Linked DNA regions of Callithrix jacchus. The protein of the gene in region 1 binds, or shares a complex with, the protein of each later gene. Links are inferred from orthologs where the notes say so. Each region holds a gene or a part of one and is shown on either strand. Other genes may lie near its edges. The genes, in order: NPR1 and NPPA.

The links.
Region 2: the proteins of NPR1 (region 1) and NPPA are in contact, whole or in part, in a crystal structure (PDB 7BRG), measured with the Rattus norvegicus proteins. The link is inferred for Callithrix jacchus from reciprocal best matches to the Homo sapiens genes NPR1 and NPPA. Residues at the interface, in NP_036745.1 of Rattus norvegicus: Asp90, Val115, Tyr116, Ala119, Pro120, Arg123, Ala139, Leu140, Gly141, Ile142, Val144, Tyr148, Tyr182, Asp184, Leu186, Gly187, Asp188, Asp189, Arg190, Phe193, Phe194, Val196, Glu197, Tyr200, Met201, Arg204, His213, Gln214, Glu215, Phe216; in NP_036744.1 of Rattus norvegicus: Arg126, Ser127, Ser128, Cys129, Phe130, Gly131, Gly132, Arg133, Ile134, Asp135, Arg136, Ile137, Gly138, Ala139, Gln140, Ser141, Gly142, Leu143, Gly144, Cys145, Asn146, Ser147, Phe148, Arg149, Tyr150.

Annotation. Positions count from the first base shown.
Region 1 is NC_133519.1:14,103,872-14,111,369, reverse strand, and holds part of NPR1 (atrial natriuretic peptide receptor 1), read right to left. Parts: coding exon 6,902-7,498; intron 6,266-6,901; coding exon 6,066-6,265; intron 5,549-6,065; coding exon 5,435-5,548; intron 4,879-5,434; coding exon 4,743-4,878; intron 3,768-4,742; coding exon 3,676-3,767; intron 2,893-3,675; coding exon 2,757-2,892; intron 2,372-2,756; coding exon 2,287-2,371; intron 1,471-2,286; coding exon 1,350-1,470; intron 634-1,349; coding exon 559-633; intron 319-558; coding exon 241-318; intron 1-240. UniProt on the Homo sapiens protein: Receptor for the atrial natriuretic peptide NPPA/ANP and the brain natriuretic peptide NPPB/BNP which are potent vasoactive hormones playing a key role in cardiovascular homeostasis.
Region 2 is NC_133508.1:49,727,685-49,735,084, reverse strand, and holds NPPA (natriuretic peptides A), read left to right. Parts: upstream 1-3,526; 5' UTR 3,527-3,625; coding exon 3,626-3,748; intron 3,749-3,869; coding exon 3,870-4,196; intron 4,197-4,679; coding exon 4,680-4,691; 3' UTR 4,692-4,981; downstream 4,982-7,400.

The DNA.
Region 1 (7,498 bases):
CAGGGACATCACATATGGCCTCTCAAGATTCCTCCAGGGTATCTCCAGTGGTCCCTTCTCCTAGCTTGGGATCTAAGGATTCCCCCACTCCCACCCACAAGATGAAGGTCCTTCCCAGGGCTCCAGTCCTTGCCCTTTCTTGAGTACCCTGAGATCCCTCCATAACTAGTTCTGTTGGCCAATCTCCCTTGTGTCCCTGAGGGCCCCTTCTCCATGCCACTGCCTCACTCCCCACATTACATGCTTCAGCTCAAACAGGACTTTTCGTGTCAGCTCAATGCGTTTACGGTTCACACGTTTCACAGCCACGAGGTTGCCCTGGGCATGGAATGGAGACTGTCACTGTGAAGAGCATGGCCCGGTGTCCTGGAATTCCAGCTACTCCCGACAGCCCATCCCTGCCCTCAGGACCCTCACTTGTTCCCAGTAGCCCACCCCTGGGGTCCGCATCTGCTGCTCCCCACCAGCTTACTCCTTCCCTCAGGACCCCCACCAGTCCTCCATCAGAGGACACTCCTGCCCCAGTCCCAAGGCCCGGTGATCTTTCCCCAGGCCTACCTTATAATATGCTGTCTTGGCAAAGACTTGGAACTGGCCCTCTGTGGTTAGCAGGGAGCCGTAATTGGAGCCTCTCTGAAAGGAGGGAGAGCGGGAGGAATGGTCACCCGGTGGAGCCAGTCTGCATCCTGATTGCTTGTGCTCTGTTCTTTATTGCCCTGCCTTACTCTGTCTTGCCTTTGCGTCATCCTTCCTTTTCGTTGTTTTTTTAGATGGATTCTTGCTCTATCGTCCAGGCTGGAGTGCAGCAGTGCTATCCTAGCTCACTGTCCAGCAGCCTCAGACTCCTGGGCTCAGATGATCCTCCCACCTCAGCCTCCAGAGTAACTGGGGCTATAGGCATGCGCCATCATGCCCGGCTAATTTTTGTATTCTTTGTAGAGATGATGTCTTGCTCTGTTGCCCAGGCTGGTCTTGAACTCCTAGGCACAAGCAATCCTCCTGCCTCAGCCTCCCAAAGTGCTGGGATTGCAGATGTGAGCCACTGCGCCTGACCCACCCTGCTTTATGTTCGAATCATAAATCTCCTCCTCATTTACTTGCTTTTTTTAAAAAAATGTGTTTTCACATGTACTATCTCCTCTGACCTTTAAAAGAGCCCTGTGAGGGAGGCTCTGCAGCTGTGATCATCATCTGAGACAGTCTCAGAGAGGGAATATGAGTCGCTCAAGGTCACACAGCAAGTGAAGGCAGAGCTGGGACTAGAATCTTGCTCCCTTCCCTATCCCTCAGGTACTGCCCCTGCACCCAGCTCTCATTTATTGCCTCCACACAAACACCAGTGTTCTTACCCCGCTCAGAGTCAGCCGGCTACCCGCACTCCGCAGGTGCCTCTCAAGGCTACTGGGCTCGACATCCTCCCAGCGCACCCGCCACAGCTCCGAGGCCAGTTCCTTCTCCAGCTGCATCTTCCTGGGGCATGAAGGCTGCATCTGAGCCTGTGGCTGAGCCCCTGACCTAGGACAGGGTGCTCCACAGCCCCTCCTCAGAGGCATGGAATCACATCATGGACTCAGAGATGGAGGGGAAATTCTATCCTCTGGACTGAGAATCAGGATGCCTGGGGGAAATTCTGTCTCACTGGGGACCTTGGGGGAATCACCTCAATGTCTGCATTTGGTAAAGAGGCCTCAATATCTATTTCATTCTTAACTATTATAAGAATGAAAAGAAATAGTGTATGTGGAAGTGCCTGGCACATATTACATGTTCAACTAGCAGTGATTTTATCCCCTCCCTCCTTGCTTTTGTGTATCATTAACTCCTCCTGCACTGCATTTTAGCCTCCACCGGACGGCAGGAATGGGGCTTATTCAACTCCCTTCTCCACTCTAGATTGAGCACCTGGCACACACCAGGGCTCGCCACCCTGCTCAGTAACATGGGCATGATCCCGAAAGTTCAGAACATTGCTTCCCATCTGGCCGGCGAGAGTAGCAAGGGAAACCAGTCCATGCCCCTATGATGTCACCCGTCAACTTGTCTGCTTCCTGGATATCTCTGACTTTCCTTGGCCATTCCTAGCCCAGTCTCTTCCCCTTGCCCTGCCATTTCCTTCTCTTTCTCTCTCCTCTGTCTTTTAAGTCTCCTTTATTCCTCATCTCCCTTGGTTTTCCCCTGCTGTCCCTTCATCCCTGTCCTCTTCCCTTTGGGTCCCCACCACCTCCTCTGCTATTGGTTCTCCAGGTCCTCCAGCCACATTCACCGCCTCCCCACATCACAGCTCACCTGTATATGAAGAAGGAGACAATCAGAATGCCGAGCAAGGAGAGGCTGCCCACCAAAGCCAGCACCTCCAGGGTGGAAAGGTGATCTGCAGGAGAGAGTCCGAATTGCAGCAAGAGAGATTTGGGTTAGACAACAGAAGGAAGAACTTTCTTTTTTTTTTAATTTTTATTTTTTAAAGACGGGGTTTCACCATGTTGGTCTGGCTGGTCTTGAACTCCCGACCTCAGGTGATCCACCCGCCTTGGCCTCCAAAGTGCTTGGATTACAGGCGTGAGCCACCACGCCCAGCCGTGGAGGAAGAAGTTTCTAATAGCCCATCAGTGAACTGGGATGATGGATGAAGGGAAGAAAAAGGCAGGAATCATTCTCAAGAAAGCCCTCATCGAGGGAGAGGAGCACCTACTCAACTGTGCTTAGGGGAAGGAGGCTGCATCTCTGGGATGGAGACCTGGAAGGCGAGGGCCAGTCACCTTGGTTGCATGCTGGGTCTTCGTTGTCAAAGCCACATTTGGGGACGTCGGGAGGAGGGTACCCCAGGGGCCAGCTCAATTTGCGCCCCGACACAGCCACCAGCTCTTGGGAAGTCCCATTGTAGTTCAGTACAACCTATGGGAGAGCAGGAGTGGTGGCTAGGCCAGGGCCTGAGGGGAAGGCTGCTGTGTAGCACAGCAATGTCACCTCCTACCTACCCCAGCTCTGCTTCCAGAGCTTATATATGTCTGGGTTGTCACCTGTTTACCAAGCCCCTGCTGCAACTGGATACTGGACCTCATACCACACACGTATTATTCAAGTGGAAACACCTGACAACTATCAAGAATTTTTACAAAGAAAACTCCATATAGAACCCAATGTCTACACTCAGGGAGTTTATAATCTTGGTTGAGGCACCAACCAAGCATTGATTTTTCTCTACCTATTTTCTTGGTAGAAAACAGAATAAGGCCGTGTTCACCTCAGCCTACATCCCCAGGCCCAATCCATGTGCCCCTCTTCCAGGAAACCTTCTCTGGATGACCTGTCCCTTGCTGCCATCGGTCTCAGTGGCTTCCTGTCCTCACTCACTTGTAGAGGTGTGTAATGTGCATCCTTTGTGACCCTGCCTCTGCTGGGAGGCGGTCCTGCCTGCTTCCCTTCGGAGCTCTCTGAGGCCAGGGTTGTGCTCTCTCCTCAGGCATGGGGCTCCCCAAGTGTGATGCCTGTGGGTCCCTATCGTTCTGGTGGCTTTCCCAGACTGGAGCTGGGTCTGTCTTATTCAGGGCTCTCGTAAGTGTCCAGGCACGGTAGAGTGGCTACAGGATAAAAGGTGCCCTGGTAAGGCTGTGGGGGGAAGTAGGAGGGTGAGATGCCATTTGGAGTTGGCACTGTCTTCTGGGTGCACAAACTTACCCTGAAGGCACCAGTCTCGGGATCCATATCCCAGAGGGAGAAGTCTGTTTCCCGATCACCACTGCTATCAATTTTCAGGTGTCCTGTCACACCTGAGGACACAGGGGAAGATGACTGTGTGGGAGAGAATGGAAGTTCAGCGGTATCCCACTTCATCTCTTCATCCTCTCATCTTTTTTGCCTTGCCTTCCAAACATACATGCATACAGAATGACAGTAAATGGTAAAAGGGCCGGGCACTGTGGCTCATGCCTGTAATCTCAGCGTTTTGGGAGGCTGAGGCAAGCGAATCACCTGAGGTCAGAAGTTTGAGACTAGCCTGCCAACATGAAACCCTGTCTCAACTAAAAAAACCTGCCAGTGTCCTCCTCCATCATCAGGAAAGACATGGAACAATGGGAAGGGAGGGAGGGTGATAACTGGGAATTGGGAAGGATGGAAGCTGGCAGAGGATCGTGGAGTGGGGGCTCAAGTTCCACGCTGGAGGGTCCCAGAACCTCTGGCTCTTTATATGTAATGATTTTGGCAGCCTGAGGAAGGGGTCAGTGGAGAGCGGAGAATTGGGAGCTGACTCTATGCCCGCAGTACTGTGGGGCCCCAACAGTCAGGAGCCCACCTCCCAGAGCTAGGTCTCTGCTTAGCTCAAGGTCAAACAGGACCCTATGCTCTGCAAGAAGTGATGCCCATCCCCCAAAAATACAAAAAATTAGCCAGGTGTGGTGGCGGACACCTGTAATCCCAACTACTCAGGAGGCTGAGGCAGGAGAATCGCTTGAACCTGGGAGTTGGAGGTTGCAGTGAGCTGAGATCTAGCCACTGCATTCCAGCCTTGGGAACAGAACGAGACTCCATCTCAAAAATAAAATAAAATAAAAGGATCCAGTGCCCAGCAGGGATGATTGAGGTTGGACACTCAGTAGGACTTCTGGAGGGATGCGCCTGAGAAAAAGCTGTGGAGGAAAAGGCTGGTGTGCACTGGTGACTCTGTGCTACAGACTTCTCACGACAGTGGGCACCTGGGATTCATCCCCCAAGGCTGCCCATTCCAGCCACCTCAAGGCCCTGACCTTGAAAGCTTCGGTTCCACATCCGCTGAGTGATGTTCTCCCCATCAGTGACAGTTCCTCCATGTGCCAGAGTCTCCGTCACTGCCTGGACATAGAGCAGCAGCCCATCATGGAAGGACGCTGGGATGGTGTTCACCTGTGGGGGCAAGCAGAGGTTGGCTGGGGTGAGGTGAATGAAGGGCATGGAGTTGGGGGCTGTGGGGAAGGGAATGAGAGGCACTGGGAGTTTGGAAGAGGATAGGAGAAAATAACACCCCTACATCACTGGGAGATTTTACTATTTATTTATTTTTGTTGTTGGTACCAACAGACTATTTAGATTTTACTATTTAAATGATGCCTTTGGATTAGCATCGCTTCCTGAATCACACTAGGCACACAGGGCGGGATGTATCATCTCTGTATTATGGATGGTAACCTGAGTTTCAGAGGCTGAACTTGCCAGTGTCCTCCTTCATCATCAGGAGGAGGCACTGATGATGCCTTGGAGTTGGCCCTGTCTTCCGGATGCACGAACTTACCCTGAAGGCACCAGTCTTGGGATTCACATCCCAGAGGGATAAGTCGGGAGAGACATGGAACAATGGGAAGGGAAGGAAGGGGAGAACTGGGAAGAGGGAATGGAGGCTGGCAGAGGGTCGTGGAGTGGGGGCTGAAGGTCCACGCTGTAGGGTCCCGGTACCTCTTCTTACCAGGCCGTCCTCCATGGTGAAGTTGAACTGCTCCCGGGCCAGGTGTTTTAGCTGCTTCAGGAATTCCAAGTACTCGGGATTATCTGGTTCTTTATATGTAATGATTTTGACAGCCTGAGGAAGCGGTCGGCAGAGAGCAGAGAGTTGGGAGCTGACTCTATCCCCGCAGTACCATGGGGCCCCAACAGTTAGAGCCCACCTCCCAGAGCTGGGTCTCCGCTTAGCTCAAGGTCAAACTGAACCCTATTCCCCGCATGAAGTGATGCCCATTCCAAAGCAGGGAATCCAAAGGGATGGCTTCTCCAAGTCCTGTCCAGACAGTGGGACTTTAACCTCCTCCCCTCTAAAGCCCATTTTCTTCTTTTTAGCCTGCTGGTGCTCAAGCGCCCCGGCTAGTCCCCTGCCTTTCACTGCCTAATTCCCAGAGAGCATCACCAACCACTTTTCTGTTCTGTGAGTTACCATGAGTGCATGAAGAAACAAACAGACCAAACCTTTTTTTTCTGGAATTCTTTCAGACACTGAGGGACACAGTGCCCAGAAATGACGTGCCACAAGCTGAGATGGCCTGAGCTTCAAACCTAGGTACTAACTTCAAACCTAGGTACTCACCTCAAACCTAGGTACTCACCTGAAAGGCTTGGCGGGCACTGACATCCTGCCCATCTCCTCTCTCCCAGGGCCTGCGGGGAACAGGGCCCTGTCCACCTTGCAGGCTTTGCCCAAAGATATCCAGGTGAAAGAAAACGTAGTCCTCCCCACTCAAGCCAGCTTCCAGGGCCAGAAGCATAAGGGCTCTGAAGGCATCAGGCGAGCTGCAGATGTAGATAACTGCAGAAAAAGGAGTATTCAGAGAGAGAAGCCTAGGTACTGTGGGAGAGACAGGGCTAGGAAAGCGGAGGCACCGAGGGGAGGAGGTTAGAGATGGGGGGCAGGAGAAGCCCGGTGAGAGTTAAGTGGCAACCCGGCTCAGCCTAGACCACGGCAGGGCAGGAGAAAGACGAAGGGTCGAAGGCGATGTGGGGGGCGGAAGAGAGGAAGGGACAGATATGGAGAGGGGAATAGTGGAGCTGAAGGTAGAGAAGGGTGGGGCCAGGAGGGCGACAGGAGCGAGGGCGGGGGGCGGTGCGGAGAGGACTTTGAGGAGCGACGGGAAGAGAGGATGAAGGTGGGGAGAAGGCTATAGGGAAGCGAGAAAATGCGGGAGATAAAAAGGGACCGGAACTGAGCTTTGCCAGGGTTGGAGGGAGTGAGTGGGGGTCGGGGAGGTGAGAGTATAGAGGCGCGGTGCAGGGTGGCTAAAAAGAGAGGGAAATAGAAAACTCCGCAGCAGAAAGGGCCTAGGAGCTGAGAGGGGAATGAAGACCGGGGAGGAGAAAGAAGAGTGGCCCGGACGAGAGACGAGAGTGGAAGTCAGAGGGGAAGCCCTGCGGCGGAGCTGCGGGACCCGGTGCGCCCGCGTCTCACCTCGGCCTTTGCGCGGCACGGTCCGCAGCAGCCTGGTGTAGTGGCCGAGGTCGTTCTCGGCGAACTCCAGGTGGTCCACCGTGATATTGAGGCGGTCGCGGACACGCATAAACAGCCCCTCCACGAGGAAGAAGCAGTGCTCGTCGTCACCCGGCCGGTAGGCGTAGAGCATGAGCGCCTGGCGCTCCCAGCCCAGCCGTCGGTGCAGCGCCGCCACGAAGTCGCCCAGCTTTGCGTAGCTGGGCCCCGCGCGGGTGGTCAGCGCGTACTCGTCCTTGACACCGAAGCCCAGCGCCGGGGCGCCGGCGGTCAGCAGCGGCACCCGCCAGTGCGCGGTGAAGCGCCCTACCGGGGCGGCGGCGTACACGCAGCCCGGGCCCAGGAACACCGCGGGGTTGTGCTCCCACTTGAGGTCCACCGCGGCCAGGGGCGCGGCGGTGTCAGAGCAGACGCCCAGCGCGTTCTCGCTGCTGCCCAGCACCGTGCGGACCGTCCAGCCTGGCAGCAAGTCGGGGCGCGCCTTCACCCGGGCCAGGGCCAGCTCCACGGCGGGTCCCACGCGCGCCCACGACCACGGGTACGAGGTGTTGGCCAGAG
Region 2 (7,400 bases), on another chromosome or scaffold:
CACACTCATCCCCCGAGGCTGAGCGGGAGCATAGAAATGAAGAGAAATTTTACATCAAGCCACTTTCTGGTTTGCGCTTTAATAAGATCTGGGGTAATAAGTGCTGTTGAGGATGTTTGTGTTTTTGTGGGGCTCTGTTAGTGCAGGAGATGATGGTTCTATTCAAAGCCCTCAGGGCAGCACAACTGAATGTCCATTTCCTCCCTGCACCCTGCAAAAAAGCCTGGCTAATAGAGACTCAACAGATGACACTCATGTCCCACTCCAGTTTCACTCTGCAAAAGGACAAGTGATTTTAATAAAAGGAGGTGGACAAATTCTGAAATTCTCTTTCTGGAATCTGGGATGGGACTTCCGCTTCTCCTTGGGCTACCTACAGTCTTCAGCAGTGGCTCAGGACAGAGGAGCAGCATCGCCACGGAAGTCCCTGCTCATATCAAAGGCCCATCTCAAAGGGCATCTCCAGGAGACAGGCGGTATGACGCACGCAGCACCAGCATGTGCTTCCCCCACTGAGGGTGCTCGCTGGATCCTCTTCGCTAATAATAACCCTGCCAATCGAGCAATTCAGCTGCGAGCACATTCCAGGGGCTCGTCAGGATATGAGAGGTTTTTGTCCTGCAAGCTCTTGCTTAGAATTGCACCCATTTCAGGCTGGGTGCAGTGGCTCACTCCTGTAATCCCAGCACTATGAAAGGCCAAAGCAGGAGGAATACTTAAGCCCAAGAGTTCAAAACCAGCCTGGGCAATATAGCAAGACCCTGTCTTTATTTAAAAAAAAAAAAAAAAGGATTGCACCCACTTCAGATTTCAAGTTGAGCTTGGCTGACCCAAATCAATTGCCAAATCTGTGTCTGTTACTTTTCTTCTCTCTCACTCCTACAGGCTGCTTCTAACCACGCCGTGAAATATTAGATCCCCCCAAACACACATCCCCCAAGGCTTGCCAAAGAGGGCCTCTTTTATCTTGTCTTAGAATAATATTACCCTGGATACCTCTTGTGACCTCCGGCCACTTGCTGCCCTGATTTCCAACTTTACGGCTGCACAACGCCCTGACCACCTAGTCAAGCATGAGGTCAACACAGCTAGGGACAGATCTGGCCAGGACAGAGCTGGTCACTCAACACATGTTTTCTGAGCTTCCGAAGAGTGGATTAAAACACATTCGGTATAGAAATAGATCAGAAGAGCAGCCGAACAGAAACAGACTTGGTAAGCGCACAGAAAGCTATAGTCCCAGGGACACAGGGAAGGTGAAGGACTTCCCTTGGGGCATCTGAAAGATAAGGAATGAGGGTTTAATTGGGGAATGCAGCTAAGGGATGAGGAGGCTGTACTCTATGTGAAATAAACTAAGATACGGACATCAATGTCAGACCTGGAGTTCCAGTCTTGGTTCGGCCACTTAGGCACTTGGCGGCCTTGGGCAAGTGGCATAGCCTCTCAGGCTCAGTTCTGTGCCTTTGTAAGTAAGGACAATGATATCTATTGCCTGGGGATGGTGATCAAAATAAAATCATTTCCATAAAGCTCTCAGTCATGTGCCGGGCATGTTATAAGCAATCAATAAAGACAACTATCATGGCCATCTTGCAGGGACTCAGCACTGCACACTTGATACGTGTTTACACTTTTTCAGCTGACTTGGGCTCCACAACAACCCTGCCAACCCAAGGTAGGCAGGGAAGGTTTCTACTTTATTTATTTATATTTTTTGAGACCAAGTCTTACTCTGTTGCCCAGGCTGGAGTGCAGTGGTGCCATCTTGGTTCACTACAACCTCTGCTTCCAACAGTCAAGCAATTCTTTTACCTCAGCTTCCTTAGTAGTTGGGATTACAGGCACGTGCCACCGTGCCCAACTGATTTTTAAATTTTTAGTAGAGACAGAGTTTTGTCATGTTGGCCAGGCTGGTCTCGAACTCCTGGCTTCAGGTGATCCACCCACCTTGGCCTCCCAAAGTGCTGGGATTATAGGCATGAGCCACTGCGCCCAGCCGGTTTTTACATTCTTTTTCATTTTACACACAGGAAAATAAGGCCATGAAGATGTAAGCAACTGGTTTGTTTTGGGCTGAAGTGCAGGTCTCTCAACCCTTCAAATTTAGTGTTTTCCCCAAGTATACATTGCATTGAATGGTAAGGGCTAACACTGAGTTCCGTGCTTAGCAAACAGGCCATTCATTAGACATAGCTGGACTTGGCCGGGTGCAGTGGCTCATGCCTGTAATCCCAGCACTTTGGGAGGCTGAGCGGGTGGACCATGAGGTCAAGAGATGGAGACCATCCTGGCCAACATGGAGAAAGCCCATCTCCACTAAAAATACAAAAATTAGCTTGGCATGGTGGTGTGTGCCTGTAGTCCCAGCTACTCAGAAGGCTGAGGCAGGAGAATCGCTTGAACCCGAGAGGTGGAGGTTGCAATGAGCCAAGATCATGCCACTGCACTCCAGCCTGGTGACAGAGTGAGACTCTGTCTCAAAAAAAAAAAACCCTAAAAACAAAAAACAAACACCATAGACAGACTCGCTGCCTGTTATTTCTCTTTTGGGGGTCAGGAAGATTGTGACCTTGGTGGCTCAGTCACTTTCCTAGCCTCAGGGAATGAGGTGGAGGGCACTGAGGGAAACTGACTATACCTCCTTCATTCCCACCTCCCTCCCTTCATTGACCAAGTGGCCATGGGCACAAGTCCAGGAAGGGCAGGGAGCCGTACAAGTCTGAGTGTCTATAAATTGCAAGAGATGAAATGAAATTGGCTGTGTTCTCAAAGCCTATCCCCACTGCAGGTTGGAGGAGGGTCACGGGGGATGTGGAGGAGGAGGAGCTTTAGAGAGTGGATGCTTGTGCTCCCCCGGCTTTTCTTGATATTTCTGTTTGGGGGTTGAATTCTTGGGAGCTTCATCACATTTGGTTCTTGGCTGACTTCATATTCTAACAAATAACTCCTTTTCACCTGACCATGGAGAGGGACAGACGGCCAGGGGTGAGGGCGGCCTTGTTTTAGGCCACGTGGCAGATGAGGCAGGTGTGAGGCCAGCTTGAGCCTCTGGACCCATTTGTCTCAGGCTGCTGGCTGCTTGCCATTTTCTCCTCTCCACCCTTATTTGGAGGCCCTGACAGCTGAGCCACAGACAAGCCTGGGGGAGCTGGGCACCAGCCAAATATCACCCTCTGTTTCCCTGCATGGGTACCAGTGTTGAGGAGAAAGAATCCTGAGGCATGGCGGTGAGATAACCAAGGACTCTTTTTTGCTCTTCCCACACCTTTGAAGTGGGAGCCTCTTGAGTCAAATCAGCAAGAATTCAGCTCTTGCAGCTGAGGGTCTGGGGGGCTGTTGGGGCTGCCCGAGGCAGAGGGGCTGTGACAAGCCCTGTGGGATGATAACTTTAAAAGGGCATCTCCTGCTGGCTTCTCTCTCGGCTGCTTTATCACTGCAAGTGACAGAATGGGGAGGGTTCTATCTTTCCTGCGTGCTTGAAGAGTTGGGAGGACTATAAAAAGAGGAGGTGCTGGGCAGTTTGGAGACAGGGACGGACGTAGGCCAGGAGAGGGGAACTAGAGAGGAACCAGAGGGGAGAGACAGAGCAGCAAGCAGTCGATCGCTCCTTGACTACACCAGCATGGGCTCCTTCTCCACTGTCACCGTGAGCTTCCTCTTCTTTCTGGCATTCCAGCTTCCAGCTCAGACCAGAGCTAACCCCGTGTACAATGCCATGTCCAACGCAGACCTGATGGATTTCAAGGTAGGACCAGGAAAGTGGGTGCAGTCTGGGGCCAGGGGACTTTTGATGCTGTTCTCGTTCCTCTTGATTTTCTCCAAGTCAATGAGGCTTATCCCTTTCCTTGTATTTTTCTTTTGTAAAGAATTTGCTGGACCATTTGGAAGAAAAGATGCCTTTAGAAGATGAGGTCGTGCCCCCACAAGTGCTCAGTGAGCAGAATGAAGAAGCGGGGGCTGCCCTCAGCCCCCTCCCTGAGGTGCCTCCCTGGACTGGGGATGTCAGCCCAGCCCAGAGAGATGGGGGTGCCTTCGGGCGGGGCCCCTGGGACTCCTCCGATAGATCTGCGCTCCTAAAAAGCAAGCTGAGGGCGTTGCTCACTGCCCCACGGAGCCTGCGGAGATCCAGTTGCTTTGGGGGCAGGATGGACAGAATTGGAGCCCAGAGCGGACTGGGCTGTAACAGCTTCCGGGTAAGAGGAACTGGGGATGGAAATGGAATGGGATGAACACTATTGGGAGACACCTTTAGCAGGAATTATTCCCTCCGAAGTTTCTGCCCCAACACCATGAGTGCCCCATAGGTGTCAGGACACACCATCTATCATCCTCAGCTACAGTCTGCTGAGAAAATGCTAAAAAAAAAAAAAAAAAAAGTGACTGCCACTAGCACTAGGAAATTAAAATATCCATAGGTCCAAGTTATCTTTGCATGGCTGATTAGCAGTTCATGTTCCTCTCCAGAACTGTAAGATCCTGAAGGGCTTAAGTGACATTTACTCTGCTGAGTAACTTGCTTATCAATTCATGAAGCTCAGAGAGTCGTCAGGCAGGATGGGGGCTGGTGGGAAGGTGATCAGTAATCAAGGTCAGAGGATGGGCACATTCATAAATGAAGCTGACATTTCCAGTACAGCCAGGTCACCACGCTAGATATGTCTGTGTTCTCTTTGTAGTACCGAAGATAACAGCCAGGGAGGACAAGGAGGGCTGGGCCCTGGGGCAGATGGCAAGAGACTCTTGTCCCCTGGGGTCTCTCCTGCAACTTCGTGTCATCTCATTGCCCTGGAGTTGTGATCATCCAATCCAAGCTGTGGCTTCCTGTCAACACTTCTCATATTTTATGCTAACTGTAGATGAAGTGGTTTGATTGTGGCTTCCTCGCCTCTCCCACCCCATGCATTAAATTTTAAGGTAGAACCTCACCTGTTACTGAAAGTGATTTGAAAGTGAATAAATTTCAGCACCATGGACAGAAGACAGATGCCCACATTGGTGTGATTTCTTCCGTCTCCGGGCAGAGTTCAGCTTGATTTTCCTTGTCATTTTACTCTTTGTCAGAGAAAAACAAATGCTCAACTTTTCTTTTTCCTTTCATTTCTCCCTCCTTTTCTGTGGGTCGTTGGGGAGGCCTCAAATTCCACCCACAGTGGTTTCTGGTTACACGGGTTTTTATTGTTTTTAGAGGGGGACATTCAGAAAATGAAAGTATTTAATTAGATCCTCTCTGATACATTTCGAGAGAGATGCTACAGATAAGTTAATGGTACTTTTTAGTTTTGAAAAGAATAGGCAGAGTGTTGAGTTTAAAAGCTGAGCAGGCCAGGCATGGTGGCTCACTCCTATAATCCCAGCATTTTGGGAGGCCAAGATGGGCAAATCACTTGAGCCCAGGAGTTTAAGACCAGCCTGAGTAATAGAGTGAGACCCCATCTCTATAAAAAAAAATTAAAAATTAGCCAGGTGTGGTGATGTGCACTTGTAGTTCCAGCTATTTGGGAGGCCAAGGTGGGACGATGGCTTGAGCCTAGGAGGTGGAGGCTGCAGTGAGCTGGTATCATGCCACTGCACTCTAGCCTGAGTGACAGAATGAGACTTGTTTCAAAAATATAATAAAAACTGAGCACAGTGAAGACAGGTTTGCCATGCAGACAAACTGAGTTTATGTGCCTTTGTTGTACTAACAAGTATTTAGAAAATAGCCAAAGTCTTTGACTAATTCGGGTCCAAAGGGCCTGGGCTTGTATTTTACTAAAATAAGAACCACTGGAGAAGATACAGGCTTTTTCTATCTGCTCCTGAAAAGGCTATTGTTCTGAGCACAAAAAACCAGGGTTGAAGTTCACCTTAAACAGAGTGACCTGTCTTCCCACCTGTTACCCATGGACTCCACCCTCTCATCAGATTCTATGGCACTCCAACACCCCACACCCACATGTGCCCTTGTGCCCTTATTTCTGTTTCTTTCACCTGGGTTTCCTTCCTCTGGTCCTCCCGAGGACATTGTACTCATTCCTTAAGGCTCATGTGAGCACCACTTCTTCCCTGATATCTCATGCCCAGTAACGAATCTCTTCACAGGCAGCATTTCACATGTAACAGTAATAGTAGCACACAACATGAGCTGCCAGTGTGCAATTGCTTGTCTACGTCCCTAGACTGCAAGCTCTTTGAGGGCAAATGCCTCTTTGGCACTCTGAGTTGATGCCCCCTAAATGTTGGTCAAATTGCCTTGGTCTTGTCGAGAAATTGGGAAAAGAGGAAAGGAAATGGAAATTTGCTCCTTGCAGAGGAAAGTGGGAGGGTCCCCGTGAACTGCTGACAGCGGGTGAAGGTGGGGAAAAAGCTTCATCTAACCACTTCCAATCAAAATGTTCCCTATCTGGGCTTTACACACTGAAGGGCAGAAACTGGGAGGCAGATAGAGAATGAAAAGGATGAAGCTAAGAGCAACAGGAGACAGTGCTGGCCCAAACCTGGCTCCAGAGGTCTGGCACAGTATTACAGTGTTACGAGTTGTCAGCAGGGGAAGTAGCAGCTGGGCCCATTTCCAAGGCGTCTCCGTAACACAGGGAGTTCTCATCGAATAGACATGACAAATACACACACCCCTGGAGTTCCAGAATACTTGGGGCTAGGTGCTAGGCCTGAATTGACTGCAACTGTTTCTGTCTCTGATGGAATGATGACTCGAAGCAGGTCGGAGGGAGACAGAGGCCATGCTTCTTGCAAAACCGAAAGCAACCAAAACACAATGGCAGATAGCAGCGACAGAAGCTGGCCACGGGTCTCCACCTCTCCAGATCCAGCGCCAGTTTCACTTCTGGTTGGACATTAGGGCATCTGCTTGCGGGAAATATTCCTAATAGAATGGATTCCCCATCTGCTGCTCCAGGACGCTGTTGCTAGCAGGAGGAGATGGTTTCTAGAGGACAGGATCGGGAAGAGTGCTCATCAGGGAGAAACAGATACTGCTGACTTCTACTAAGACCCACAGGATGAAATCCGTTCTTATTAAGGTCGCTGCTTGGTACAGAGAAATGGACTCCCATGGATGAAGAGCCCTGCTGGGCAGCTGCATAGGGAGAGCTCTGAGACTATAAAGCCATGTCCTAGTGTAATTTTCACACATCAGAAACAGGGGGAATAAAATAAAAACCAAGTACCCCTTGAAAGAAAGAGCAGCATGGAGACAAAAGGCTAAAGGAGACAGAAGACATTTTATTCTGACATGTTATGGTTACAATGAGAACTCCCAAGTTCCAAAGGTTCAAATAAAAATAGCATTTTACAAATTAAAAAAAATACAATTTATATACACAGTGGAATTAGCTCACATCATACAAACCAACAGTGCAAACAGAAAAAGGAAGCTGCGACGGTGGCAATGGCCAAGG